3 linked regions of the Notamacropus eugenii genome follow. The protein of the gene in region 2 interacts with the protein of the main gene of each other region in a pairwise test. Links are inferred from orthologs where the notes say so. Each region holds a gene or a part of one and is shown on either strand. Other genes may lie near its edges.

What was found. The genes of interacting proteins can lie anywhere in the genome.
Region 1: the proteins of MPPED2 (region 2) and CAGE1 interact in binary tests that used the Homo sapiens proteins (3 or more experiments, as listed by UniProt). The two-hybrid records come from large-scale screens. The link is inferred for Notamacropus eugenii from reciprocal best matches to the Homo sapiens genes MPPED2 and CAGE1.
Region 3: the proteins of MPPED2 (region 2) and RXRG interact in binary tests that used the Homo sapiens proteins (3 or more experiments, as listed by UniProt). The two-hybrid records come from large-scale screens. The link is inferred for Notamacropus eugenii from reciprocal best matches to the Homo sapiens genes MPPED2 and RXRG.

Annotation. Positions count from the first base shown.
Region 1 is NC_092875.1:177,888,587-177,899,155, reverse strand, and holds the start of CAGE1 (cancer-associated gene 1 protein), read left to right. Parts: upstream 1-6,723; 5' UTR 6,724-7,010; coding exon of another isoform or gene 7,011-7,023; 5' UTR 7,024-7,130; coding exon 7,131-7,152; intron 7,153-10,569. Other genes in the region: RIOK1 (serine/threonine-protein kinase RIO1), read right to left, coding at 4,651-4,852, 6,230-6,300.
Region 2 is NC_092877.1:20,714,420-20,724,412, reverse strand, and holds the start of MPPED2 (metallophosphoesterase MPPED2), read right to left. Parts: upstream 4,127-9,993; 5' UTR 2,789-4,126; intron 1,123-2,788; exon of another isoform or gene 878-1,122; intron 1-877. UniProt on the Homo sapiens protein: Displays low metallophosphoesterase activity (in vitro). May play a role in the development of the nervous system.
Region 3 is NC_092873.1:481,224,101-481,234,299, forward strand, and holds the start of RXRG (retinoic acid receptor RXR-gamma), read left to right. Parts: upstream 1-6,353; 5' UTR 6,354-6,543; coding exon 6,544-6,592; intron 6,593-10,199. UniProt on the Homo sapiens protein: Receptor for retinoic acid. Retinoic acid receptors bind as heterodimers to their target response elements in response to their ligands, all-trans or 9-cis retinoic acid, and regulate gene expression in various biological processes.

The DNA.
Region 1 (10,569 bases), on a different chromosome or scaffold from region 2:
CAACTTAATTCATTAGACAGAGTGTATCTGAGAAAGACCATTTTGTACAATGCCACCTAGCTTAAGGGCTATGTCAAATGCTTCAACTTTCTCTCAGTGCAAATTCTTTCTGAAATTCTCAAGCAAAACTGATTTTCTGCCATCTCATCTTTCCTGAGGAAAGTTCCCTAAATAGAGTCTAGTAGAGTAAGTACTCAAATGCATCTATGATCTCACCAATTCAAAAGCAACTTCCATCAATGCAGATCACAATCTATTGATGACTGTGAAAGACTTATCCAGCTTCACCTAAAAGTTCACCACAGTGTGTTATCTTACCATGCCAAGGGCCTTTCTTGCTTTTGTTCAACATCATCAATACCAGTTAAGCACTTTGATTGTACACCTATTTATCTCTTGCTTTCACCTTGTGGCCAATCCATCTCATTTTCTTACCTTACAATTCCTCAGACACCCTCTACCTTTGTTCCTCTTTGGAGTTACTACTGCCTATTTATCAGCATCCCATCACTCTCTAATATTCACTCATCTTTAGTTCTTTGGAGATAGTGATGTTGTTCCACAACGCACTGCTGCTGTATAGCAACACCAGTAAAATACAAATATCAAAAATGATATCGTTGCTTTCATATGAAGCTTGAGGTCACTAAAAAAGTTTGCAATTCCCTCAAAGTCATCTAGTCCTCTCTTCCCCTCCTTTTCAAATCTGATTCCAGTTCACCCACTGTCAGATTATTTACACGCAGTTGGACAACATCCAGAGTTGTTGAAATATGAGCATTCTTCATTCTGAGCACTCTTCATTCATTCTTCAAAAGGACATTCTTCATCAACTTAGTCTTTCCTATATGTATGGAACAGTCAAACTCCTTTGAGTGATTACAGATCTCTTTGAAGAGGCTCTGCAATACCCTGAGGGAAGATGCAGTCAGCCCAATGCCATCTGCAAACAAGCTCATCTAGAACATCTCACCATCAATGGATGGGCACTGCACTTTTATCTCTTCCCATCATCAGTGGGGAATCTTTGATAAGAATACATCTCACTGTTTTATGCTTCAACTAACATTTCTTGTCATTGAACAGTTACTACTGTTCTTACATCTTCCAAGGAATCCTGAATCACAATGTATGACTAAGAGACATTTTTCTATAGAAGAGATCATACAATGGCATATGTGTTCTACCAAATCAAATGCTTTTTCATAATTTACAATTAGCACAGCGGGCTCATATAGTCTTTACATTTTAGTTAACTGTGAAATGGTAAAGACGTGGTCCGATGTTGATCATTTTTTGAAAATGCTTCCTTTGTTTACTAATAATACCTTCATGAAAGAAGCCCTTAATTTATGTGTGTACATACATATGCATGTGTATGCCCATATATTTATTTATATAAAACTCTCAAAGATTTTCCTTAGATGAGAGTGTAGGAATGTAGGACTGTAGCTAACTATCTTTCCTTGGTTACTTTTCCCAGTATTAACAAGATCTGAGATTTTTCCATGTCTTTGGTATTATTGCTTCTTTCAGATACCTTCTATCTTCTCTCTCTTTTAGACACATTGTATACTGTATTTGATACTGTATATCAAATATAAAAACCTCAATTTGGCTCCCAAAGCCATTCATAACCTGGTCCATAGGATGAGAGTAACAATCTAACTCACAGTGTTATTGTGAGGATTAAATAAGACACTCTATGTCAAGCACTTTGCAAACTTTAAAGCTATATAACTGCTGGCTATTTTGTCATCATTCAACTGAAGCTGCCCTCTTTAACACTGCCACTGAGCTCATAAGGGTAAATCTTCTCAAATTTCATTCTTCTTGATCTTTCTGTAGCACCTGACACTGTTGATGATCTCCTAGATTCTCTCTCCCTTCCAGATGCCTATGATTGCTCTCTCATGGTTCTCTTTATTATGTGGCTCCTCTGCTGGTTCTTTACCTAAGTCATGCCCACTAATTGCAGATGACCTTCATTCCAAGGCTCAATCACTGGTATGCTTTTTCTTTTTGCTCTGTTACCACCCTTGGTGACGTATCAGCTCTCACATGTTTAACTATCTCTATGCAGATGATTCCTCAATACACATATGTCCAGCTCTAGCCTCTCTCACAAGCTACAGACCCTCATCACTGATTGGATCTTGGACATTTGGAACTTGATGTCCTGTAGTTATCTTAATGTCAACATGGTCAAAAGAGAAAATATTAGCCTTTTCTTCCCTCCCTCCTCAGAAATACCCCTTCCACACTCCCATTACTCTTAAGGGTACCACCATGCTCTCAATTACAACCTTGGTTTCATCTTTGACTCTACTTTTGCATCCCTCTGCAACATAATCTGTTGCCAAATCTGGTCATTTCTACCTTCAAAATCTCTCAAATGTCTCATTCTCTCCACTCACAATTATAACCCTAATTCAGGCGTTCATCTCCTCTCCCATACCTCTGCTATATCTTTTTTAACGCCTCTCTGCTTCAAGTCTCTTCCCACCCCAATCCAGCCTCCATTCAGCTGCCAAGGTGATCCTTCTAGAGCACAGATGTGATCATGCTGATCCCCCTGCTCCATGAGCTCCAATGGCTCCCTATTGCTTACAGGATCCAATAACAAACTCTTTGGCATCTAAAGCCCTTCTTAACCTGCCTTTTTCCTGTACTTTACCCCACTCCACATACTCAATGACTCAGAAACGCTGGCCCACTTGCACTTCCACTCTCATCTCTGTGCCACTGTACTGGCCTCCACCCCCATCCTACCTCACCTCACCTCTTAACTTCCCTGGTTTTTCCTTCAAGACTCAACTCAACTCAAATCTCTTCTTCTGCAAGAGGTCTTTCTCTACCAGATAGATGCTAGTGTCCTACTTAGTCAGACTGCCTCCCATCTACTCTGGACAGATGTTGTATGGACCTAAGTTATTTATAATGTCTTAGTCATTAAAATATAAGCTCTGAGAGCACAGGGACTGCTTTTTCCTTCCTTTGTTTCTCCCCAGTACCCAGAACACAAAAAGCACTTAATAAAAATGAAATGAAACAATGTTCCATACAGGGAAACGTTACATATTATGTAGACTGGTGGGGATATGTCTCAGCCACTGAAATGTGATCTCCTAGAGCAAAGGAACCATTTCACCTTCCTTTGCTTCCTCAATGCTTACACAGTAAGCACTTACTAGGTATCCAATAAAAATTGAAGAAAAGAATATCCTGAAGAGAAAAAAAACATTACATGGAATATATAAATCACAAATAAACAGAAAATAAAGATAAAAAGGAGAGTTTTTTGGCCTGAAATTTCTACAATTAACAAATATAAACACAAACTTATAAACTGTAACCAAAAGTATAATAATAAATCATCCTAGTTAAATACTCAACTCTGCTTGACCCAAGTTATTTTTATAACTGACACTTACATAGCACTTTTAAGATTATTAAAAGCGTGTGTGTGTGTGTATGTGTGGGCACGCATGTTCCTAACAATGTTATAAGGTATGCACTACAGGAATTACTTCCATTTCACAGTTGATAAAACTAAGGTTCAGAGACAGGTTTTGCCTATGGTCACAGAAGCAGCATTCTAACTCAAGTCTCTCTAGATTTCAAGTTCTGACCTCTTTCCATTATACCACAATGCATAGGTAAGATTATTTTTCCCTAGTGTTATAAAAATCTTATTTTTAATTTTTCTTTATACTTTTTTTACGTCTTGATTTCCAAATGTCTCTCCCCAATTACCAAAAGGCCGAATCTTGTCACAAAGAATAAAAGAAAAAAAAGAAAAACATTCAATTATAGTTCTCTACCTCTGCAAATAAGGTGTAGTTTTAGATTATTTGTTAAGTTCTTCTTTTATAGATCCATAAATGTTAGATTTTAATTTACACAAAATAAGTACATGCAGTCCCCTATGGAGGCAGTGTGGTCCAATAGCAAAAACATTGGGTTGGGCTCTCCAACTTCCAATTCCACCTCTAGATTTACTGCTAGTCTTCATCTCCCATACAACTCCCATACAACAAGGAGTCTGGAAGAGATGGGCTCTTGGGTCCCTTCCGGTTCTAGATGTATGACCCAAGGTGCATTATCACCTCACCTTTCAAAAACCAGAATAAAAACTGAACAGTTGAGAAAGGCAGGTATGAAAGCTTGCATATTCTGTCATACACTGTGAATGAGTTGGCTTTGATGAATTGGTTTTTTTCCCATTTTCTTCTTTGTATCAAGGGAAGGCTATATTTGGAAATGAATGAAATGTTAAAAACAAAATATAGAGATAGAGAAAAATGAATTAGCAAGAAGAAAAGATCATTCTAGTTGATCTTTTCTAGGTATTAAGTTCTAAAGCAGAATCTATATTTCAGAGGGTCAGTGAATCTGAATGGGAAAAAAATTACATCTTTATTTTCACTAACCTTTTAGCTGAATTTTATCATTTCCTCCAATTATGACTGTAGGCAACAAAACATTCCAAAAAGGGGCCTACAGACTTCACCTGACTATCAAAGTAGACCATGGCAGAAAAAAAGGTTAGCTGATCTTGTTTTAGAGCAATACAGTAGATATGAAAGCTTGTATTAAAAGCAAACAGGTACATACTAGAAAGATATCAAAAACTCATTTATAAAATACCTGTGGGTTACTGCCTCCAGATGAACAAGAGCCCTTAGTAATTTTCCCAACTTCATCATCCCAGTCCCAATCATCATCATCATCATCATAATCTTCATAATCATCTTCCTGAATTTCTTCATCAACTTCATTCAAAGTCTGGTGAGAATTTTTAGATGTATCTTCCTCCTCTTGGCTTGTTTCCATGCTGGTTGTACTTCCACTAAAAACAGGAATTTTTCAGATGATGTTACATGCGATCTAAGGTAACATGACAAAAATGCCACAGATGTGTGAATCTCAAGTCATTAGGAAATTCAAGGCATTTGTACTTCCATTTAATAATAAGAGACACTTTTACAAAAAGAAATAAAAACTTAATCAAAGTTAATTTTTTAAAATAACTAAACAAACTTCAAAAAATACAAACGGGTGCAGATTAAGATATATATTTAATGGCCAAGAAAGGGATTTATTTTGTTTCACTATGCATATTTATCCCAAGGATTCTGGGATTTTTTCCCCATAGGTAAAACAAAAACAAAGATTTATTGTTAATTGAAAACTTTTTTAAGTGTTGTTTTTAAAAAGGCACAAAATGCTGTATTTTGAGACATCTGGAATCAATGTACACACTACTGTGTTTACGACAACACTGCAATTGTGGACATATTAACAAAATATCACCGTAGCCTTTGAAAATAGCTAAGGCAATGCAAGGATCTAAAACATTTCCAAAGGACCCCTGATACAAAATGTCACCCACATCCAGAGAAAGAACAATGGAGTCAGAACCCAAATTGAAACAGACTATTTTTTCTTTTGTTATGTTTGGTTTTGTTTAGTTTCATTCATGCTTTCTCCCATTCGTTTTAATTCTTTTATGCAATGTGACTAATGCGAAAATGTGTTTAATAAGAATATGTGTATAGAGCCCATATAAGACTGCATGCTGCCTTGGGGAGGGAAGGGGAGAAAATTTAAAACTTACAGAAGTGATTGCGAAAAATTGAAAACAAATAAATGAATAAATTTAGAGGGAAAAGTAAAAAAAAAAAATAGGACAAGGACCACACCAAAAAAAAAAAGTGAAACAATGCCAGAGAACTTATGATGAAATATGCTACTTTACCTCCTGAAAAAGAGGGGATGGACTTTAGGGTACAAAAAAATCAGTAAACATAGACACCCAAAGTCTTCCTACGGTTTTAAAAAGCACCAAGACTTTTGGGTCACGCTGTATCTTTTGGACAAGTCCAAAGCAGAAATTGTTTCGTTTGATTATGCAGATGGCTTTAGCTTGATGTGGAGGAGAGAGGGTCAAGGATGGGGCCAAGTGGACAACGATGTTCGCTCCTCAAAGAAACTGAACTGAAATAAAATCAACTCGGTGAAAGGCTTGGAATGATGGGCTCTGATGACAAAGACACCTCCTGACCCCAAACACTTAAAGGGGGGAGTCTGCAGGACCCTTAGCTCGGAGGGTCTGCGTGCGGCCACGTACTGCGGCCCAAGGCAGGAAGCGGGGCAGAGGAGACGGAGCCCCGGAGCGCAGGGGGATGGGACCCCAGCCCCACGCACGCCGCTCGGGTCCTCTCACCTGTCAGAGGAGTCAGCATCATCGAACTGCCCCGGGACCGCCCGGCTCATGAGCTGCTCCCGGTAGTTCATGGCGGAAGCAGGATGCGCTCGCCCGCCGGGGCTCGATGGGGTGCCGGTGGCACAGGAAGCTGCAGGGGCTCCGGGCGCCCCGGCTCCGAGGATGCTCCCGTCACTCCCCGGGCCCACGTGGTCTCCGGCTCTTCCACGCAAGCCGCGTGCTCCACACGTAGAGCAGAACGGCTGGAATTCACGAAGGTACGGAGAGCCGAAAGGGACAAACAATAAACACGCCCCCTCCCCCCCAAAAAAACCAAGGACTCCGCGAGTTAGCCAACGACAGCACGGATAAACGACTGTTCCTTTAACTTCACCGAACCCCGGAGAAAGTCCTGGCAGACCGGAAGTTGGTAACTGGAGTCACCACGGCAGGAGCAAATAAAGAAGCACGGGTGCAATAGGCCCACATAGACCAGCTCGGCCGTTGGCTCCGCCCCCTTCCCCCGTACAGCTGCAGCCAATCCACGCCCTGAGCTTCTGAAGACACGTGAGGAGAGGGGCGGGGCTAGAGAACGCGTCAGGCGTGTTCTTCGCTCTGGGATTGGCTGATCGCGGGCAAGTTGTCACAACTGTGGAATCTTGGCGCCGCCTGGCTCCCAACAGCCTTTATTTTCCAAAGCCATCTGTGGGAGTAAGAGGTCCCACACCTCTCTTCCCGCACACGGCAGGCCGTGCGGGAGGAACGAAGCACTAGACCCGGGCTGCAGACCCAGGAACGCTCAATGGAGCCCGAAAGTGAGCACATGAGCATTTTTAAAAACTGTTGGGGGGCTCTGGTGACCATCAAAAGAGAAATGTGAAAGAACTTTGAAAAATGAAAAAACATACTCTTAAAGAAAACGATGAATCTTCTAGTGTTTTCCTGTAAGTGCAAAGTCTCCTCTTTAACTCTACCTTAAGAGCAGGAATGTGCTTTGCCTCTCCAGAAAGGGGTGGTGTGCTACCGGTGCGGAATGAGGTATATTACAAGTTATCCCACGTGGCCAATTATATTGGGTTTTTTGGGTTTTTTTAGTTTTACCTCGAAGGACTGATTGGGGTATGAGGGAGAGTTGGGAGGAAAATACCACACATTTATTTTTTTCAAAAGAGCATTAATGTAACAGCTGGATTTTTAAAAGAACAGCTGTGGAGTAAATGGATTCAGGTATATATATGGCTTCTAAAAGAAGTGGGGGCAGTACTGTGTTACTAAAGCCCAGGGATATGATGGGGAGAGGGAAGAAAGCCTAACTTAGGCTCTGGAGTTTGTTTTTTAAGCGTTTTGCCCAGATTGTATAGAGGGGGTCTGGGGGAAGAGGGGTGTAGTTTACTGCACTATGAAGAGTGAACAGATGCAGAGGGTAACTAGAAATTTGAGTCCTCAATCAAAATTGATAGACTACAACACTTTCTTTTTAAAAATTCAGCAAGCTTTGAATGCCAAACTCACATTTATACAGGCTTAAGGGGTATTGAGTGCTTTACATACATTATCTTACCCTTTGCAGTCTAGTTTTGGGCCTCATCTCTGCTGTTCTCTCCGAAATAGCCAGTGTTTATTCTGATGTTCTCTCACTCTCCATTCTCATTGACCTGTCAGATGCATTTGAGTGTGTTGACCCTCTCATATTCCTATATACTCTCTCCTTTCTTAGTTTTCATGTCAATGTTTCCTCCTGGTTCTCCTAGGTGTTACTCATCTGACCTCTTCTCCATTTCCTTTGCTGGATGTCCAAATTCTGAAAAGTGGGTATACCCCTAACTGTGGTAATGTTTGTCCTTGGCCTTTTTTCTCTTTTCTTGCTTAATTGACATCATCAACTCTCATGGGCTTCATTATTGGAGATCTGCTCAGTTCCCATGGATTTAATTACAAGTTCTATGCTGATGATTCTCAAATCTGCCTATCTTGTCCAAATCTCTCTGATATTCTCCAATCTTGCATTTCCAACTGCCTTTTAAGACATCTAAAACTGGATTCCAGTAGATATTTTAAATTCAATATGTCCAAAATGGAACTCATTTTCTTCCCCCTAAACCCTGCCATCCTTGGTTGATCAGTCACATCCAGCTCTTTGTGACTCCATTTGGGGTTTTCTTGGCAAAGATACTGGAGTGGTTTCACCATTTCCTTCTTCAATTCATTTACAGATGAGGGAACTGAGGCTAACCAAGTTAAGTGACTTGCCGAGGGTCATGAAGCTTGTAGGTGTCTGAGGCTAGATTTGAACTTAGACTCATCTTTCTGACTCCAGACCCAGCACTCAGATCTACTGTGCCATTTAGCTGCCCTCCATTCTTCCCTGTTACTATAGAGAGCCACACCTTCTTCCCTATGCCTCAGGCTCACAACTGTTCAAAAGTGGTCACAACTCCAAAAGACTTAAGTCATAACTTATTTTATTGCAGGAACATGCATTCTAGGTCCCTTCTTGTATAGAGTGCAGAGGAAGCCAACAATGCAGGCAAGGCCTTGAATATGTAAGGGTTATGGGATGAGAGAAAGGCAATAATTGCCTCTCAAAGGATAGTGGCATGGGAAGGGAAAGGGAGCAGTAGGATGAGGAAGCAGAAAGGCAGAAGCTCAATCTCCTCCTCCTCCCCATGGAGGAAAGATATTCTGCTTATCCAAAAGGGTCTCAACTACACAGTTTATCACTGTGGGTTATGTTGGTCGGAGCCAGGTTTGTAGCTGACTTAGCTTCAAGGGCACGCTGAGAGTTTAATAAAGTCCAACTGCAAAAAATCACTGTTATGTTAGTTCAGGGGGGCTTCATCTCTGGAAAATAAGGCAACTCAAGAAAACAAGGTCACAGGCCCCTTCACACAACCTAGGAATCACCCTGGATTCCTTACTCTCTCTAACCCTCCACACCCAAGTTTTTGTCAAAGCCTTCACATCTTTTGAATTTGCCTCCCTTCTCTCCTCTGATGCTGCCACCACTCTGGTACAGGCTCTCATCACCTCATGCCTTGATTATTGCAATAGCTTGAAATAATCTTCATGCTTTAAGTTTCTCCCTGCTCCAATCCACTCTCCATTCAGCTACCAAAGTAAAGTTCCTAAAGCTCATGTCTGACCATGTCACCCCATCCCAACTTATTAAACTCCAGGCTTCCTATTACCTCAAGGAACCAATACAAAATGTTCTTTTTTTTGGCATTCAAATACCTTCATAACCTAGTTCCCTCCTACCTTTCCAATCTTCTTACACTTCACTCCACACTGTGTACTCTTTGATCCAATGACATTGGCCTCCTGGCTCCATCTTTTAACTCCAGGTATCTCTCTGGTCATCCCCCATGCCTGGAACACTCTCCCTTCTCTCTTCCAATTCCTGACCTCCCTGATTTCCTTTTAAGACCCAACCAAAATCACATCTCTTACTGGAAACCTCTCCCAGCTACTCTTAATTCCAGCACCTCACCTCTGCTAATTATTTCCTATTTATCCTGTGTCACCTGAAAATAAATAACCAAAGAGCCACAGAAGTTACACACCAAGTGTTAACTCTGAAAATACCAAAGAGCTCATGGAGGTTGTACCTCAACTATTGACGCTGAAAACGTAAGCTCTCAGGCTATGAGCAAAAAGCCTTCTTTATTCCATTGGAAGAGGGAAACTAAACGTGTTCCAGGGCCTCCTCTAAGACTGAGGAGACCCACGGCTTTGAGGCTAAGCCTTGATACATACAGTTGTGGATAGACAAAGAACCAGACAGTGAGGTGTAACCAAAGCAATGAGGCAAATTTGCCTAGTGGCAAAAAAGTTTATGCATAGTAGGGCTTCATGACCACAGTGTGGTTCATGCAGGTGCTTATCTGAGTTCAGGAACCACCTGGGACTGGCTAGATCGAATTCTGTGATTTAACTGCAGCAGAATTCATGCAGAGGATGAGCACAAAGGATTTTTGTTATGCCAAATTCAGAGCACATATTGCGTACTAGGCCTTAGCTCTGGAAAACAAGGTTTCTCCTAATAGTAAGAAAAGAGAGGAGTGGTCTTGCCTTGGAGGTCCTGACACCTGGATATATCTTGTTTTGTGGGGGTTTTTTATGTCATCTCTCCCATTAGATTGTAAGTCCTTGAGGGCAAAGACTATCTTTTGCCTCTTTTCATACCCCCAGTACTTAGCAGTGTCTGGCTGTTGTCTTTCATTCTCAAAGAGGACCAAAATGACATCACCATGATAAAGTCAAGTTTCAATGTGTCCAACTGTGGCTGAACAGACAAATATGAGCTTGGAATGCTCTACCACAGACTGGGCACAAATAGTCTGTGTGAACACCTGAGGGGG
Region 2 (9,993 bases):
CATTCATTTTGTTCACATTAACACATTCTTCCACCACCACCCCCCAAAAGTAAAACCCTAGTTTGTGTCAGTAAGCCTCAAGAAAAATACAAAAAGGTGTAGACGGTGCCAAAATCCAGCGTGCTGGTGCCTGCTTGGTTATCTCTCTTGAAAAAATCATGTAAATCTATTTCCTATTTCCTAGATAGCAGCCACTTGTATTCTTCGGTTGTTCAATGAAGAATATTCATTTTCAGGAATCTGGTCAGAAGCCCTTTTAAAAGTCTGCCAGGAATTTAAAAATTTAAAGTAGGGGTTCAACGGCCCTCCCCCCAAAAATCCTTCAATAGGACAAGTGAGAAAGGGCAAGGCTGAGCATGGTACCTGTCCCAGCCTGACAGGAAAGTGGGTTGTTTTCTTTCTTTTTTTTTTCCCCACAGGAATGTCTGGGGGAGAAGAGACCAAGCAACATGCGAAGACTTTGCAGGCAACTTTGTCCAGCTTCCTCCCCACCCCACTTCAGTCCCTAATTATTTCTTTTTTTATTTCTCTCGGTGCTACAGTCAGACCCACACCAAGGATGCTCACTCACCCTTCGCTAGGAATGCGCTCCCAGCTGCAGAAGCAGAAAGTTAGAGAGCTGCAGAGGCACCAAAGCTTTCTCCCCCACCCCTCACCCCTAAATATACCCCACCCACACCCGAACTTGGGTCCAGCGCCAGGTACACCGAATATTTTCCTCTAGAAAGAGGGAAATCTCAGATTTGGGGAGTTTGAGAAAGGTTTACAACATAGGACTTAAAAGAGAAGGGGGACAGTCTGCCCCTGGCCCCCTGAGTGCATGCATGCACACACACACACACACACACACACTCTTACACACACACACACACCCCACCTCCTCTACAGGTTCACGTCCTGCTAGTACTGTCTACAGCTCCCCCTTTCCTTCCTGGTGAGCACTCGCTGGCTGCTGCTGCTGCCGCCGCTGCTTCGGCTGCTGCCGCCGCCGCCACCACCAGCAAGGTCGCTGCCGCCCCTCCTGCCACCCTGCCGCACTGGGCTCCGCTGTTGGGTGACTGCTCCTTCTTCCTTCCTTTCTCGCTACCTCCCTTTCTCTCTCTCTTTTCACCGGTCCCAGATTGATTGATTGCCATCCGCGCCCAATAGCTCTGACACCGCACCATCCCCGGTTTTGTACCAAGTCCCCCTACCCACCCGCCCCCTCAGCCCCCCCCTCCTCAACATTATGCCTCCCCAGCGGGCTCCGCTGCTCTGGGTTGGCATCCTCCTGATGGCCAATCCTAAATCGACCCTCGCCAGAGCCCCCCGGAGCCGTCGCCGCCACGGCCACCACCATCCACCCACTGCTGGGCTGGGGCGCCTCGCTTCTGTCCGAGGAGCAAGGAAGAGGGGGCACCACGAGGAAGGGACCTTTGCCGGTGGTGTACAGGGCCATAGGGAGGGTGGCAATCTTTTTCTTGCACTTAAAGTTTTTCCCAACCAGTTTCTGTTTGTCCTCGGTGCTTCACGATCAATGCACCTTTTTTTTGGCCCGCATTTGGACTTCCATGTGATGGGGGTCGGAGGTGGTGGTCAGAGGTGAGAGATGAGTTTTGGGGTGGAGTGGACACCGCGGGAAGGGGGGATCCTGGCTCGTCCGAGCCTTTGTGTATTTCGTCTCATCCCCCTACTCCCACCCGGGTGTCTCCACCTCCCCTTTACGGGAGAAAAAAACAATAATTGCCCTTTCCACCTCCTAGGCCGCAAGACCCTGGATTTGCAAGGCTTCCTAAGCCCTCCTTCGCTTACGGGGACCCTCCACCAGCAACTCCAGCTTCGGAATAAAAAGAAACAATCCCCGGCGATTTTTACTTTTCTTACCCCCACCCTCCACCCCCACCCCAAGCTGTGCTGCTTCCAGCACCCGCGGAGGGGGCGGGGAAGGCGACGGAGGAAGGAGTGAGGTTAGGGTGGAGGGGAAAGGGTGAGAAAAGATACACACACGCATGCACGCACGCACACACACACGCACACACACACACACGCACACACACTCACACAGCCACAGCCACGCGCGGGGCTCCCGGCGCAGAGCCGCACTGCCCCCCGATCACAATGCCTGCCGCTTTTCCTGTAACTGTACTTTGCATTGTGCCCCCCTGGCTGCCCGCCGCCGCGGCCGCCGCCGCTGTTGCCTTGGTCTCCGGCAAACACAATGCACCCCGGCCTAGCCGGGCCGTGCTCTAACATTATAACCCCGAGACTTTCTAGTAAACAGGCGGCCGAGCCAGCATCCCCACCCCCCATCTCCTCTGCCTCTCGCCGCCACCAAATCACTTCCCTTGCAGGGCTCCCTAGCCCCCCTCTTCCCCACCAACCCCCTTTCTTCCTCCACCCCCCGCTAGGAGAAAGACACCCTGGAGAGGTCGGGGTTGGGGGCGGGGGGCGCAGGGAAGGGAGCGAGAAAATGCTTAGTGGGGAAGAAGACAGCTCCTAAAAATAATTCTGTTCCACTCCTGGAAAACAAAACCTCTTGAAACGCTTATTCCGAGTCATACAAATTGCACTAAAGTCGCCTTATTGTTATTATTTTAAAGAGCAGCTAGGAGCAGACGCTGCCTGCTGCCTCAGATCCAGCCCCATCCTCTTCTACTTGTACATGACAAGGCACCTCTAACCCGCGGCTTTGTGTGTGTGTTATTTTTTTCCCCTTCCTTTCCATCTGATTCCACCACCACCACCACCCCCTCCCTTCTCCTCCTTCCCCGCTCCCTCCCACCACCACCCCCCCAACGGGGTAGATTACCTTTCTCTGGCTGGGATGTGGGTCTTGGAGATGCCTTCAGTGCTCTGAAAGGAGCCGATCCATAGGGGACTTGGAAAGAGCTGGTTAGAGAGAGGGAGAGAAGGAGACAGGGAGAGGAGAGAGGCGCTGGGGAGGTGGAGGTTGGTGGAGGCAGGGCAGAACCTTCGACCCTGGAGGTCCCACCGGCTGGCAGGGTTGGGAATGAGAGGGAGAGAGGGAGAGAGGGAATGAGAGCAGCCTCGATCTGAGGAGAAAGAGAGCTAGGGAGAGAGGGAGAGGGAGAGAGGGAGAAGGAGAGCGAGAGGCGAGCTGGAGGAGGGAGCAGAGCAGTGCAGTGACAGGGACTGCCACTGGGGTCAAGAGAGCAGAGCACCAGGAAACAGGGCGGCCAAGGAGCTGTGTGTGTGTGTGTGTGTGTGAGTGTGTGTGAGTGTGTGTGTGCGCGCACACCCAGACACCCAGACACACACACGCCCCGCCAGCTTCTCCTGCAGACTCCCACTTCACTTCCCCCCACTAGGAGAAGGGGGCCAAGGCTTTCCTCGGCCAAAGTGCGGCTCTCCTCCCCTCCGAGGGGAACCTGGGGGAAGAGAAAGGGAGGGGGAAAGGGCTGAAAAGGAGAGAAAGGCAAGGAGCAGATCTGCTCTCTGGTGTCTCAGGTCAAAGGAGGCAGGAGGCAGCTGAGCAGCAAATTCTTCATCATCATCTTTGTTATTCTAATAAAAAATAACCAAGGCGGGAAATTAGAAAGCTGGGGAAATAAGAAGGATTCGCCCTTCTCCACCCCATGGGTATTTTCTGCAAAGAAAACACCCAGCCATGGACCTGCTGTAGCTGTCAGGCCCCTTGGCACCTTCTCAGTCCACCGAGGCTTCTGCTGGGGCTGCTCAGGGGCTTAAGAAATACTCGGATAAATGAAATGGGCTGCAGTTTCTTTCCCGATCTGCTGCTATGAATTCTTACCTTATGGAAGGGCGTCTTCCCTTTTTCAGCCCCTTTTCAACATACACACAGCCCTCTTTTCTGTGATCCTATGGTCTTGATGTGTGTATGATTTTCCTTCACGAAGAAAATGAGGCAAGAGAGGGAAAACTGATATATACATATATATTTTTTTTCCAGCTGCAGAAATTAACTCAAGATCACAATTAGAAAGGGGAGAGGCTAAGAATCTAATTATTCCCACTTTTGCATTTTGGAGACTATTTTCTCCTTCATTCATAATTCCTTATGGGAGGAAAAAAGCAACTTAGAAGTTTTCTTGGCTACATTTTTTAAAAGGAAGAGACTTTCAGATTTGCATGCAAATAATATAAAAGCCCCTTCCCCCCCCCCAAAAAAAAACTAATGAAAACCTAGACAGCAGAGGAAAAGAGAGAAAACATTCTTTGGAAACTTGGTTGATCAGTGCTGTCTGTGAAAGATGAGTTGGCCCTGTGATGTGATGCCATTGTCAGAACTGAGGATTTGGATGACAACCAGGCCTTCTAATTCCTTTCCAGAAGTCAGACTCAAAGATCTAGACGTTCTCCAGAGAGAAATCCAATGTATGTGTATGTGAAAGAAGTGTGCTAAGTACACTATATGACAACTGACCAGACATCCAGCTGAAATTATTGCCCCGGAAAATAAAAAGGAGCCTTGTCAACCCTGGGTCTGTGGCCTTCAGCTGTAAGATGAATTTGTTTTCAGGTTCACTTTGGGGGTGGCGTGATGACCAGGAAAAAACATCAGGCTTCACCTGCAAAAATTACTATAAAGAGGAAATTCCCAGCATTAGAACTAAGGGAAAATTGTCACAATCTCCATCCTTTGCACTGACGTGAAAGGGAAAATAACCATTACGTGGCTGGGAGAGCCAGAAATTATGTTTGTTTAGGGTTTTTTGAAGGGGTATTGGGTGGTTTACAATTAGATGAGAGTCCAAGTTTCAGCGCTGTCAAATTTAGTTGGAATTGAAAGTGCACTGATTTTTCCTGGCTTGTATAAACTCCAAGAACCAACAGAACGGGACACAAGACAGCACTAGGTATGTACCTTTTTGGTTTTCATAATCTAGTAATAAATGATTTCTGTACTGTATTCATGTTTTAGAAGTAATGCTTCTGCCCAGCTCACGGTATGTTTGTATGTGTGTGTGTGTTTGCATGTGTGTGTAGTGTATGGTATATCCCTAAAAGCCTACTAAAGGAACAAACTAGCTTAAGTATTTTGTTTGACTTCTTTCATTACCCAGAAAAGGAGTCAGTTAAAAAAATTGTCATGAGTCAGACTTTTTCACTGTCACTCAAAACAGTCCAACCAACTTGTGCATATAGCTCCAGCTGAAAAAAATACATATATAGAAATATATGTACATGTGTATTGTGTGTATACATGTGTGTATAAATATACATATGAGTGTATACATGTATGTATATGCCTGTGTGTATTTATTATATATGTGTGTATATTATTGCCCAGAGAGCGAGTATAATGATGCCAATACTTTCTGTTTATTAACTCATTTTATACAAAGATTTTTTAAGGCTTAGTAAAAATCAAGTGAATGAAATCTTAATTAGCTGGTGAATTATTCATAATTTGATTTTTCTATTTGGGAAAAATTAAGGCACGTGGAAATTTAGCAACATGTCTTACTTAGTGCATGTTCATGGTGGAAAAAGAAGTAAGACTTACTTCATTTTTTGCTCTTCCGTTACAACTACTATTAGTATCAGAAAGAAGAGATATTAACCATTTCATTTAGATGATGAATTTTGATTTTGCACCGGCTACTTAAGAAAAAAAAAACCCAAACCAATAGCAACCAGAATATGGAGAAAATTAGGTGAATGAACCGAACAGTGAATGAGGGGCAGAAGGTCTTTGTAGCATGGCTTTGTGTTACAATGGGCTTAGATATAGCATCTACAACTATAACTATACAGTGAAGGCCTCATAGAAAATATATAAATTATTTCCCTCGATATTAGTTTTAAAGGGGAGAACTTCACTGTACTGTGTTCCAACTGCTTGGATTGAATTTTTAAAAATAGGTTCTACAACTATGCTTGCTAACAAATTTTTGTATAATGCAATTTTTTTTATTGTTTATAAAATAATACCAAGAAGGATTTTTTTTTTAAAGTCAAATTCCAGAATGATTGTTGTCTCAATGAAAAAACCACCAAAATTGCATCCTTATAAGGCACCTGGTTGAAATTTTCATTCAGGAGTTTGATTGAAGTCACAGAAAGTAACTCTTGGTACACTAATTTAGTGGCTTTTAAAACATCCTTGGCAAATACATTCAGTAGAGAAAACAATAGAGAGTTGAATGGGGAACTTGGGGGTTGAATCTTAAGAAATATATTGAAGGCTCCTTGGCCTTTGGTTTTCAGTAACTGCACCCCAATAACAATATTGTGCTAATCCAGGGATCTATTCAAACTAAGTCCCATCTTCTGCTCTTACTGATTGACATTGTCACTGAAATCACTGCACAGGGAGAAGGCAGCCTCCCTGTTTTCTCCTTGTTCTATAACTAATCTACATTTTTCTAAATACCTAGAATAATGGTTAATCTCCAAAATGGAGGCTTCTAAAATCAGATGGAAATAGAATCCACAGACATAATGCATCAAAACAAGGATTAGTCTACAATGTTCTTTCCCTCATTTTCAATTTAATATTTAATAAACTGTTTTCTTTCTCTTCTTTCCTATCTTTTTTCTTTTCTTCCTTCTTCCTTTTGCTTTCTTGCTCCCTTTCTATCATTTCTTCCTCCCTTCCTCTTTTCTTTATTTCTTACTTTCTTTCCTTATTTCTTTCCTTATTTCTTTCCTTCCTTCCTTCCTTCCTTCCTTCCTTCCTTCCTTCCTTCCTTCCTTCCTTTCTTCTCACTCCAGGTCATCAAGGGAAGGAATTAATGGTTCCCATTTTTTCTGTATGCCTCATGGTGTTCACCTAGCTCAGTGATGCAAACATAAGTAAGTGCTAGCAAATATGAATTGAACAGATGGATGAATGAAGTATCTAATGAAATAAACTATAAAAGAAAATAAATCATTTGTGCTCCACTTGCTTGAAAAAAGTATTTTTTAAAGGTTTAACTTAAAGCTATCATCACAGGATACTGGACAAATACACACGCCTTCTCTTTCTCAAAATATATGATTTCAGAATTTTTACCCAATGTCTTGGCAAATATAGCATCGTGCACATCACAGAGACTCAGTGGGCAAACTAAAAAGCAACTTTTCACACAGTTTTAGGAAATGGAAGATTTGGGTCTCTTTCCCTTAGAGGCATCCACCTTTAAAAAACAAATCTGACTACCAGAAGTATTTTTTATGACGTGTAATATCTTTGGCAGTATGCAAAGGGGGGGGGGGGGAGACAGACATGCTATTTGAAGTTTACAAGAATAACCTTGCCAATAAATACACATCAAAGTAACTTGTATGGTTACTTCAGTTCTTTAAGGAATCCTTGAAGTTCCTCAAATAAAAAGAAAATATTCTGCTCTCTTGTACTTAGTCAGCTAATGTGGGATGGGAAGTCAATTCTGGCTAATTTGTTAGGGCAATCATACCACATCCAGAGCTACTGGGTGAAAACTCAAAGATATGCACACAAAGAAAAGGTTGAAATTGTATTTCAAAAGCATCGTCTCATCAGAAGCTGTAGGATTGAATTGATCCAGGCAGAATGCTTACTAAAAAGAGAAATACTGTATATGTGTTTGAAAAAAATACCCTTTTGCAAAACGGTGACAAGGTCATATACTTAGCACTCTTATGATGCTCATTGAGCCAATATGTAATATGCTTCGATCAATAAGTATTTTTCCAGTGTCCGCTGTATGTAATGTTACGTATCAGCTGTCTAAAGGGAACTAAAATCATTGCTGGAGATGAGGATGATTTTTTTAGAAGTAATAATGAAAACATGGTGACATGGTACCTTAAAGTTTGAACAGCATACACATCCACAAATATATACATATGCACATGTACCTAACACAAATATACAATATGTTTTATATTATTAATATGTACATATATTCTTAATAGACCAAAATTTTAGCTTAAAGTGGGCCTTTGCTTTTGCTGTTCAGTAGTTTCAGACCCATTTGGGGTTTTCTTGGTGAAGATACCAGAGTAGCTTGCCATTTCTTTCTCCCACTCACTTTACAGATGAGGAAACTGAGGCAAACAGGGTTAAGTGACTTTTCCAGGGTCACACAGCTGGTAAGTATCTGAGACCAGATTCAAACTCAGGAAGATGAATCTCCTTGACTTTAGGCCTGGCACTCTACCCACTGTGCCACCTCTTTTTACTGGTATCAATGAATTCTTATTGGGCCTTCCTAGATCTTCCTAGGCTCTCTTCCTGGATAGCCTCCTGCCATATTGGGTATATGCCCAAATTTGGCTTACGTAGGAGAATGTAGCCATGGCTTGGGGTAATTTTGCCATTGTTTCTTTAAAACATACACAAAATAACCTTGTTTGGGAAACAAAAATGCAGGGGAAAAGTGTTTTGTTTTCCTAGTTTTAATAAGCTCATTTATTTACTCACACAAATCGATCAAATGTCTACTACATGCTAGATAGTATTTAGTTACTGGGGATACATAGATAACCCTATTCTGCCCTCAAGAAGTTTCTGTTCTATCGGAAAACGGAAAACATACTAATGCTTTGATAGGATGGTTTTCTTTCGTATTCAAAGCTCTATCAACACCTTTTCTGCAGTTTATACTCTTAGGCAAGAAAGCTTCACCAGGGATCAGTGAACTTGTTCTGTTCTGTTTTTAAATATGCTGATAACTCTATTCCAACAGAATTGGTATCCATTGGCATTCCAAGTGTGTTATTTAATGCATTTAAAAGCAGCATTCTGAAATGGAATCCATAGGCTTTACCAGACTGTCACCGGGTGATTCATGAAAAAAAAATGATGAACCTCTGCCTTTGAGAGTTTCCTAGGACACAGAGAGTTTAGGGGACTGGCCCAAGGCTACCCAGCCATCGTGTGTCAGAAGCAGGAATCTGCTTAGAACACTGAGAGGCTATGTGAATAAAATTTAAAAACCCATTTGTTAATTTTATTAACATGCTTTTTACCAGTTTACTACTTCAATAAATCACTTATAAAAGAAGGTCTATATGCATTTCTATTCTGTCAGAGCTGGCGGGGAAGGGGGAGCGGGGTTTGCAGATGGAAAGGACTAGGGAGCATATTCACCTGTTCACTCCTCTCTGGCAAACCTCTTCAATCTTTTCTCCATCTGGTCATTCCAATCTTACCTCCAAGCCATCTGCTCTCTGTCATTCAAACAGCTCTTAAGATATTGGTGAGGCTATTCAGCCTTCCAAGAACAATCCAAGGGGTAGTTGACCATATCATCTAAACCCACCCTGTTCAAACAGGTAACATAAGACCATCTCAATGAGGAAGAGACTTCAGACATCATCTGTTCTCACTGCCTTTTCTTTACAGAGATGGAAAGCAAGACCTATAAACAGGAAACAGGACAAAGATCTCCAAGTTTGGGCACTTCTCCACCACAACATACTCTAATGCCTCACCTTCACCCTTATCTTTATCGACTCCCATTCCCAGCAACAAGTTTAGACTTCTTTAGACATGTGGCGTACAGATATAATTATTAACTTTATGCAATATAAATACAGTACTCGATCTATTTTATTAATAGATTTGTTCATTCACTACTGTGTGGGGATGAAGTTGAAAAATGTGTTGTCATCTAACTCTTCTGCCCACATCACTAATTCCTCTTCTGTTCTCTAAACTCTAGTAGCCTATGCAAACAGCTAATTTATTTTTACCTGATAATGTTTTTCAAAGTCATAGAAATAATGTCAATTAGCAATGGTTTCCTAAGCCCCTACTATGCTCTAGATACTGTGGGAGGCATCAGGAATAAGAATACATTAAGATACTCCCTATCCTCAAGAAGCTTGCTTTATCCCACCAGAGGATACAATATATTCATAGATTAATAAAAGCAGACTGTAGCCAAAATAAATGAAAAGCAATTTCAGTGAGGGCCGCTAGCAACCAAGGGAAATTTCTAAGTTCCTTGAAAGAAGTAGCACTTGGGTTGACTGACTCTAAAAAGGAGTTAAGAGTTAAAAGATATGGAAGGAGTAAGAAGTGCTCCTCAGACCTGGAGGACATGCAAAGGTATGGAG
Region 3 (10,199 bases), on a different chromosome or scaffold from region 2:
TATAATAAAACCAAGAAATGGTCATCTGGTCTTTGTTTCAAAACCTTTGGTAAGAGAGAACCCGTCTCCAAAGACACCACTCCAATAATCAGGAAGTTTTTCCTTACATTCACCTGAAATTTACCCGTCTACTCTTTCCACCCATTCCTCTCACTATAGTTTGATCAAGCAGAACAACTTTGATCCTTCTTGCACATGACATCTCCTATAATAGCAATAATGAGAATAATTTACATATCAATTTAAGGTTTACAAGGCACTTTACTATGTTATTTGATCCTTAGAACAACCTTGTGAGATGCTTCTCATCCTTAATTTTTGAAGAGGACCAATGATGACTGGAGTGATGTCTTGACTTGAGTGTGGATTGAATGTAAGCACAGAAGAGTTGTACAGAGTTACAGAGAGCCTCATGCTCTCTTCCAGAGTCACTGAAGTCCAGAAAGACCAGATATCTTGACCACATATGTCACTATAAGGAAGTGTGGACTGGGCCAGGATCCTTGCTATGGTATGTCAGCATGAAATTCATGTGGACTGGTGAATAATCCATCATGTTATATTCCATTTATCTCATTGATAATTTTACTGATGGCACTATAGTTCAATGAGAAAGTCAAAATATCCACAAGAGTAAAGATAGGATTCCAATTCATGAAGTAATTACTTCTTCTTCATTTCTAGGGATCATAGGCAGCTATGGGGCACAGTGGATAGAGGTCTGGACTTGGAGGCAGGGAAACCTGACTTCAGTACTAGCTTCAGATATTTGCTAGCTGTGTGACCCTAAGCAAGTCACTTAATCTTTGTTTCAGCTTCCTCATTGGTCAAATGAGGACAATAATAGGACCTACCACCCAATGTTATTGTAAGGATCCAATGAGATAATAATTGTAAATTGCTTAGCAAAGTAGAAACTTAATACATGCTCATTTCTATCCTTTTGACTGTCAGTCATGATATAGTGATATGATACATTTTGGGGGTAACTAGGTAGTACAATGGATAGAGCACAAGGCCTGGAGTCGGGAAGACCTAAGTTCAAATCCAGTCTCAGACACTTACTAGCTGTGTGACCCTGAACAAGTCCCTTAGCCCTGTTTGCCTCGGTTCCTCATGTGTAAAATGAGCTGGAGAAGGAAATGGCAAACCACTCCAATACTTTGTAAGAAAACCCCAAATGGGGTCTGAAAGGATTGGACAACGTGATATGTTTATGAGTGCACAACGACTATTTGGAGACAGCATGGTGCAGGGGAGAGAGCACTGGATTTGTGGCAGGAAAACTGAGTTCAAGTCCTGGCTCTTTTTTTTAATACATATTTGATCTTGGGCAAGACATTTAGCTATTTATTCTAGGACTCTGCTTCTTCCCTGTAAAATGAAAGGTTTGACTAGGCTACCTCTCAGGCTTTTTCCAACTCAAAATCTATGACCCTGTTGTTGGAGTGAGTGGAATCACTGACTTTTGGCATCATAGGCAAATGCTTCCTGTTATACTTCCAATTATTTCCAAGTAAAGGTATTGTCTCAGGTATCTCTGTCTTACACAAGAACCTCCAAGCCAATTGTCTTGCAAGAAATGATGATCCCCTGAAAGGACATAGACACACAATCCCAAAGTAGGACCTGTACCTCAGGGGACACAGACAAGTTGGCTTTGCCTTTAGCTAACAACCAAAGTTTCTTACCCAAAGCAGGATTTCTGACCTCATGCAAAAAAGTAAAGATGAGGTAGTGACAGCTTTGTGTCTTAAAGTCTTGCCAGATACTGAGCACCCCAGATATAGTCCAGACAGTGTCAGGATACCAGATGGGGTAACCTCAGCAAGTCAGGACAGTCAGATATATAGAAATGATCAACTGTAATGGGGTGGTCCCAAAGCAGCTCTGCCTCTGGTAGAAGAAATCACTCAGAGCCTAAGGGTTCACATGAAGAATTACCCCCACTCCACTCAGTGACCCTCCCAGGTAAAAACAGCCTGTAAGACAAAGTAATCTTTATTTCCTCTTTGCCCAAAGACAGGTCACTGGACCAGATCCCAATTGTCCCAAGAGGACTTCTATATCTGATATAACAGACCACTGCAAAAAATGGAGAGGGTAAGGAGACAATAATGCCATGGCCCTTAGTAGTAGTAATGAAGGCAGTGGTACCTAGCCCACAGGCAACAGTTTGGATAGCAGCCAGAAAAGGAGGGCAATGTTACTCGTTGGCTTGTGGGCCAGGAAGCTCTGATGCAAATGGGGCCATTTGAGTTGACTCTCTTTTCCCCGCCATGACTGTTGTGAGTCAGGACATTGTGAGAGAGACTGGGGCTATTTGATGGTTGTCCTGAAACTCAGCAGTGAGCCTTTTGGGCAAAGGGTATAAAAGCAATATTCTAGTGATGATGTAAGCAGGAAACTTCTGAGATCTCAGGGAATCTTGGGAACTGCTTTTTACCAAAGTTCACCAAATTGATTATTGATTTATGTTTCTTTTTATAGGGATTGAACCCTTACAAAGCACTTTATAAACATTGTCTTATTTACTTCTCAAAGGGCCTTATGGGTAAGTAGTGAAAGTATAATCACTATTTTTTATATATGACGAAACCTACAATGTACTAGGCCCTGCAGATACAACTCCGCCATTAAGGGATTCACTTCCTACTGGAGGAAACAATATGTTAATAAATACCCACACACCCATACCCATGCCCACAACAAGCAAACAAAATGCACAGTGATTAGGGGAGAATTAACACCTGAGGAGATGGAGAAAGATGTCTTGTAGAAGGTAGCACTTGAGATAAAGCTTAAAGGAGCTCAGACCTCCCAGAGGCAGAAGAGAAAAGAGAGAGCTTTCTACGTATTGGGGACAGCCTATGTAAAAGCATACGGTCAAAGGAATGTCATACATGGGGAACAGTAGCAGTTAGTATCAGGGGAAGCTAGGTGGCACAGTGGATGGAGTGCCATGTCTGGAGTCAGGAAGACATGAGTTCAAATCTAGCCTCTGACACCTACTAGTTATATGACCCTGAGTGAGTCACTTAACTCTGTTTGCCTCAATTTCCTCATCTATAAAATGCACTGGAGAAGGAAGTGGCAAATCACTCTAGCGTCTTTGCCAAGAAACTTCAAATGAGGTCATGAAGAATTGGATATGACTAAACAACAACAAAGCAGTTTGATTTGACTGGAGTGTGGGGTACCATAGGGGAACTAATATGTAATCAACTTAGAAGGATATACTAGGGAGAGCCAGATTGAGAAGGATTTCAAATGTCAAACACAGGGCAGTTTATTTTTGAACCTAAAGGCAATAGAGCACCAACAAAGCTTCTGTTGTAAAAATTATGTGACCCTGGATAAGTTACTTAAACACTTTGTGCCTCATTTTTCTCACCTATAAAATGAAGAATATGATCATTGCACTGCTTAGAATTCTTAAGTCTTTCAAAAATGTCCATTATTACAATATTGTTGTTATAGTATATGGTTCTCCTGGTTCTACTTACTTCACTCTGCATTAGTTCATACAAATCTTCCCAGGTTTCTTTGAAACCATGCCTTTTATTATTTTTTTTTTAGTACAACCTTGCATATTTGCCACAAGAGTTTCCTTTTTGAAATTTTTTGAGGGAAATTGAGAGGAAGACAAAATAAGTGCTTTTAAAAATAAAAAAAAAACACTTTAAATGAATGGATTGGACTCTTTCCAACTCTAAAGCTATCATCTTATGGTCATTTGGTTTGGTAGAGCAAAGCATCTCCTTAAAAATTGCCCCTCAACTAGGTACCTTGATTACATATGTCAAAATCCCACAATCTTCCTTAAAAGAGGAACAACAGATGTAACAGATATCTTTGTTCATTGACCCTTGGATTATTGATGTCAACAGAGGCTTTAAAAATGATATGATTGCCACCATCATGGAGAAAAACCAGTGCAGGAAGTTCCCCATTGAAGAAGTATTCCCTATAGACAATCAGATCACTAATCTTGTTTTTAGATGATGTTGTTTTCATCAATCCCTAGAACATGGTAGACTCTTCCAAATTAGATCTATAATCACTCAGAACATTTTGACCTAACTCTTAATTCTGGAAAATGCATGACCTATAATATGTGTGAAGTTAGATAACATAAGGCAACAGTGAGAGGAGTGTCAAAAGAGAAGATTTGATGATGAGGAATTAAGTGAGATAAGAGATAGTTTGTAGGAGAGAGGGTTTTGTTTTTTTTTTTGTACTGCAGAAGTCAGGGAAAGTCTTATGGGAGAAGATAAGAATTGGACTAGGCTTGAAAGATTGAGTAAGATGGTTAAACAGAACAGAGGGGAGGGTTTGCCAAATGAGGAGCCAAATGGCAGGAGCACAGCATTTTAGAAGGATTTAAAACTGGAAGGATTTGAAAGATTTTCTAATCTAAACTCCCTCATGTTAAATCAAGAAGCACCTACTATGTGCAAACACTGTATTAAGTGCTAGGGATACAGAAAAACAAAACATTTCACTTCTCTCAAGGAGCTCACATTCTAATGAAGGGATACAAGTAAACAACTATATACAAAGAGGATATAGACAGGATAACTGTATACAAAGAAGATATAGACAGGATAAACTGAAACTAACCTTGGAGGAAAGGTACTAGCATTAAGAGGGATTAGGAAAGGCTTCTTACAGAAAGCAGGATTTTATAGGTGAGGAAACTAAGGCTAAGTCTTGCCAAAGGTAAATTGCTAAATCAGGATTGGAATCCGGATTTTCTGATTGACCCACCGATATGCTTTCTTGCACCTTACCTCTTAGTACAGGAGGGGGAATAAACATGGATTGTTTGGAGGCTAGAGAGTGGAACAGTCTGGCTGAGGCAGAGTGTTATGTAATCTTCCCAGTAAAATGTAAGTTCCTTGAGGCTAGGGAGTGGTCTTCATTTTGTCTCTGAATCTCCAGTGCCCAGTACAATATTTGGATTGAATTGGTTCCTGAAGCAGGAGAAGTGAAAAATAAGATTGGAAAAGTATGCTAGAACCCCAGATTGCAATCAGTTTCTTAAATGTCAGAAGTGGGATTTTGTCTTGTGGTAACTAGGAGTCATTGATTTCTTTCTTTCTTTTTTGGACAGGAGAGTGAAAAGATAAATATAGTGCTTTGAAATGATTAATGTATTCCTCCACAGAGACATTAGGAAAATAACCCCAGGGTCCAGTCAATACTCCCTCTCTACCTTGATAGGTTGTCGCCTCTCCCACTGTGACTGAGCTGTGTCTAAGAGCATTTCGCAGTTCAATTCACCAGTCTCTCATTTGAGATGTGATAGATGGCAAAGGCTTTCAGAAAATTAGACCAGGAAAGAGTCTCCGCAGAAGCTAAAGGCTACTGTAGTTTCCCACTGCTGCTAGAGAGGGAAACACCTTGAGGGCAGGGGTCATTTTTTCCTTTTGTCTCTTGTGCCTTCCCCAGAACAGAGCCTGGCGCTGTCCAACATTCTGCTCTTCTGTGGAAGGAAGGCTTTCTTTGTTCCTTTGCCAAGTCAGGCCCTCAGGTCCCCCTCTTGGGAATCTCTCAGGTGAAGCTGGTAAGCGACATAAGGGACAACATAGTCAGGAGAACCCATAGCCTGCAGAAAGAAAGCTTTATCTACTTATACTTGGGGAGGCAGAGAGGTACCGTGGTAAGAACACCGGCTTTGGAGTTGGAGAATGAAGTTTCAAATCTTACCTCTATCAACTGTGTGACCTTGGGAAAGTCACTTCAACTCTTTGGGCCCCAATTTCCCCATCTGTAAAATGAGGAAATTTCACTCCCTCCCAGTCCTGGCTTCTGGTTCCATGATCCTATGGCTCAGTCTCTTGCTGTATGCATTGTGCTCTCTTGGAAGAACTTCATTCCTCCCTTTTCCCCAGTTCCTGTCACAGGTCAAATACCAGCTGCAACGAATGGGGAAATGCTAGAGAGAGAGAAAATGCCTTTTTAAATAAAACCATATTTATCTTTTTTTGGAGGGGGAAATATATCACAGAAAGCAAAGGCACCCAAAGAGTCTTCCCATTGCTTGATCCCTCCCTCCTCACTTCTGTCCTATGCCGATGCGGTCAGACATCGATTGGCTTCCCAGCTGATAGAACGCGCCACTGATGGAGCCCTCAGCGAACGTGTAAGGAGCTCAGATAGTTGGGGAACGGAAACCTAGCCTTGAGCTGAAGCTAAGGGGCAGCCCCCGCCGCCGCCGCAGTAGCAGCAGCAGCGGCGGCAGCAGCAGAGGCGGCAGCAACAGCAGCATGCGCCCTGACTTACACACCAGCTGCTGCCGCCACAGCTGCCTTTAACGCACTCTGAAGGCTCTCCCGTCCAGACACAGGCTCCTTCCTAATTAATCTCCGTGAGCGTGAGCGGACAGCCCCTGTACTCCTAGTGGCTGCCAGGGGATGATGATCGCTCTTCCCACACCAAGTTGAAGGAGTCCCGTCTTTGCCTAATAGCTGGGAGAGGCAGCACTATTGAGAAGAGGAAAGAAAGAGAGGAGAGAGAAAGATGAACTGAAGAGTAAACATGTATGGAAATTACTCTCACTTCATGAAGTTTCCTGCAGGCTTTGGCGGTAAGTATGTCACTTGGACGGGGCTAGCTGGACCTTGGTATGATAGAATGAGATAAGGAGGAGAAATGTGTTGTGGGTTCGCTCCCCCCCACCCCCCCAATCCTTCCAGAAAGGAATAATTCACTGGGATTGTTAGAGCAAGTGTATATACACAGGTGTGTAAGAAAGAGAAGTGAGATAGAAGGTGTGTGTGTGTGTGTGTGTGTTTGCGGAGAGAGAGGGAGAATGACAGAGAGGGAGAGAGGGAGGGAGAGAGGGAGAGATACTGTATATTGCATGTAAGTGAGACTGTGTGGTGTGTATAGAGAAGATGAGTTGAAGAGGAGTATTATGGGGGCCGATATGTGTTAGAATGAGTTAAGATACAATAAGAGCATTCATGTGGGAGCTAGTGTGCATGGAAGTAGAATAGTTAATAATAAAAGTATGATTACATTCCTCCTATACTACTTATCAGGAAGAAAAGCTATTGTCAAAGGTTTTGAAAATATTAACCGCCATGAAAAGGCTTGGTAACAATGATAGGGTTGTTTTCTGGAAAAGTACCATTTTCTACCCATCAGACTGAAGTGTTAGGTGTTCTGGAAAAATAACTTGCCATTGTCTTTTCTTTCTTTCCTCTCCTATCCTAAAAATCTTGAATACCCTGTCCTTCTTCCCCTCCCCATGTCATTATTTATATCTGTCATTACCATAATTTCCATATATGTATGTGTGTGAGGGATTTACATACATCATGCATGTAAAAATCTTATTTTTGGTAGTAAACATCAACCTGACTGATCAAGTTTTCCTCTTAAGGAGGGAGCAACATGGACATGATACTACACATGTTGGAGTCATTCCAAGGGCTTTTGTCTAGTCTGGAGGAGAGAAGGCTGGGGGTAGGGAGGCAATGATAAAGGTCCTCAAACATTTGAAGTGCTGGCACATGGAAGAGAGATTGATCTTGCTCATCTTGGCCCCACAAGACAGTTCTAGGAGCAAGAAGGGGAATTCTGAGAGAATCAGATTTAGTCTTGAGGTCTGGAAAACTTCCCAAGCCGTAGAGCTGTTCCGAAGTAGAATGGGGTGCCTCAGGAGGAAGTGGGCTCCCCTTCAATTGAGCTCTTTAAGCAAAGGCAGGATGACCACTTGTCTGGTATGGAAGGAATTCATTTTTTTCCGGGTATAGACTGAATTATGAGAGGTCATTTTTAACTTCAAGATTCTGTGGAAGACTTTTTCCACAAAAGAGCAATGGGTAATCAGTTCAGTCAGAAAACAGTTCTTTTAGTGGTAGAATCATCCAAATGGGTTGTCTGGCAGTATTTAAACCAGATTCTTGTTATTATTCACCCTCCCTTCTTGAAAACAGACCAATGACATCAGGAGGGTGATGTTTTGACTTGCAAGTGAGTTGGATTTAAGTGGGGCAGGACTGTGCAGAGTCATCAGCCTCACTCTCCTCTGGAGTTGTTGAAATCCAGTGGCAAGATACAGGTCAGGATGACTGGCAATGGCCTCGGATGCAATGGGGGCCCCTGGTCTTTTGAAGCTAAGGTCTTTCCTAGGTCTCAGTTTGTCTTGAGAAAGTGCCCATTCAGTAATTAAAGGATGGGTAAGAATTGAGGCAAAAGATGGCCTAGTTTGCCTTCATAAAAGAATCTGGGAGGGAAAGACTCTCAGAGTTTCTGGCAGAACCATTTAGACCAAATAAATGACTGCTTGACCAGAGTTCTCACTTCTAGGCTGGTGGCTGGGGTTCCACACAGTTTCACACAGTCTGTAGTAGCCATAGTGGAATCTTTGCCATGTGTCACTTTCAGGCAGCACAAGGCAGAGTGAAGGGACAGCAGCCCCACCTCCTCCAAGCTATATACCAGTAGGATACAGACAGGATAAAATAGAAATAACCTGGAAGGGAAGGCACCAGCATTAAGAGGGAACTTACAGGGGTGAGACTTTACAGGTGAGAAAACTAGGACTGAGCCCAGCAAGGCAGAGATTTTTTTGAAATTCTGAAGGCAGAATCCTTTCTCACTTCCTCACTGGACAGGTAGCCAATTCATCCAGAGTTATCTGGATCTAAAAACTCCTGATGATTAGTGGATCTTTCCTCTTGTCATCCATCTTTAGAGAGAAGGACATTTTCCCAGGTATTAGGATACCACAGAGTGAATCAGTCCAGAAAGTGGTCAGGTCCATCGGCAGTAGAGGAGACCAGCGTAAGACTGTAGCACAAGAATGAAGGATGGGTTGGATTGAGGCTAAGTGGTGACTGATGAAGCTTCATGCAGCAAGTTGTTATCTGTCTCCAGTCTCCAGTAAGATACTGGGTGTGAAAAGACTTCTGAACCCCAGGGTTAGGGTGTGTGTCATGGACGCAGAATTGTAAACAGCTGCTTTCTTTCTCTTGGAGTACAATTGCCTCAGGAATGTACTTATGTGGGACCATTCTTTTCCAGGACCTTTTAAGTTCTTTACTTATAATAATACTCTTTTGATGAAAGAAATTTTTTTTTTGTTATTTTGTCTACCGCTTGGTGAAAAGCTATGGAGAGGTGCGTGTGAGGTGAATTGAGGTGGTTGTGGGGGGATAAATTAAAGTAAAGAGAAATGAGAGGAATCTGAACAAAGTTTAGGTTGTGACGAAATATATCAACCTCAATTCAGATATCCAGCACAGTGCTTTGCACTTGTAGGTGCCTGATAAATATTTGTTGAATTCAACCAAATTGAATTCAGGGGCTCTTTCTCCTAGATTTTGAATTTTTAGAGATTCCTTTTATCTTAAAGAGAGATCATCCCATTTTTTCAAATGAGGAAATAGAAGTTAATGACCTCTCCAAGGTCACAAAGCTAGTTAGTGACAGAGACCTCTGAAGGAAGAGCTTGAATTATCAGGGTTATGTTACTATTATATAAACTTAAAATCATCAAAATTATATTTTTCAGAGAGTAACATTATGTAAACGAGAGTAAGGAAGACCTGTGTTCAACTCCAATGGCTGTCACATACTAGTGATGAGAGCATGAGAAAGTGACTTAACCTCTTAGTGCCCCATGTAGCTCTATGATTGTTGGTTTGATGGAGAGTGTCAACACTGGGACTTCCTCAGTAAATGTGTAGGGCTAGATCAAATATATTCATAGAATTGTAGGATGATGCATCTAGACTCTAAATGTATTAGCCTATGATTTGTGTACAGAGCAGGACAGGACCTTACAGGAAACAGACCCAGATAATGTAGTGTCCATTGCAGAATTTGAACCAAAGTCTTCTGACCGTAGAGCTGGTAATCTTTTCACTATGTCCAATCTTTTCAAATAAATATATGTAAATTCATTAGAAATATCACTTTGTAAACATAAAACCAAGATCATTTTCTGAAGAACAAATGTAGTTGCTGTTACAATAATAAAAACAAAGTTTCTATAAACATGGAATTTATTTGGTAATTATGACCCAGAGTTTGATGTGATTAGGTTTCCGTTGGTAAAAAGCACAAACTTTCATAGTGATGATGACACTCCAAAATGTGAATGGGGAAGGGGAAAAGGGGCACAGATGTAACGGGGATGGTTGGGAGAGTAAGGCTAGAGAGACAGTTACCTAAATTAAGTA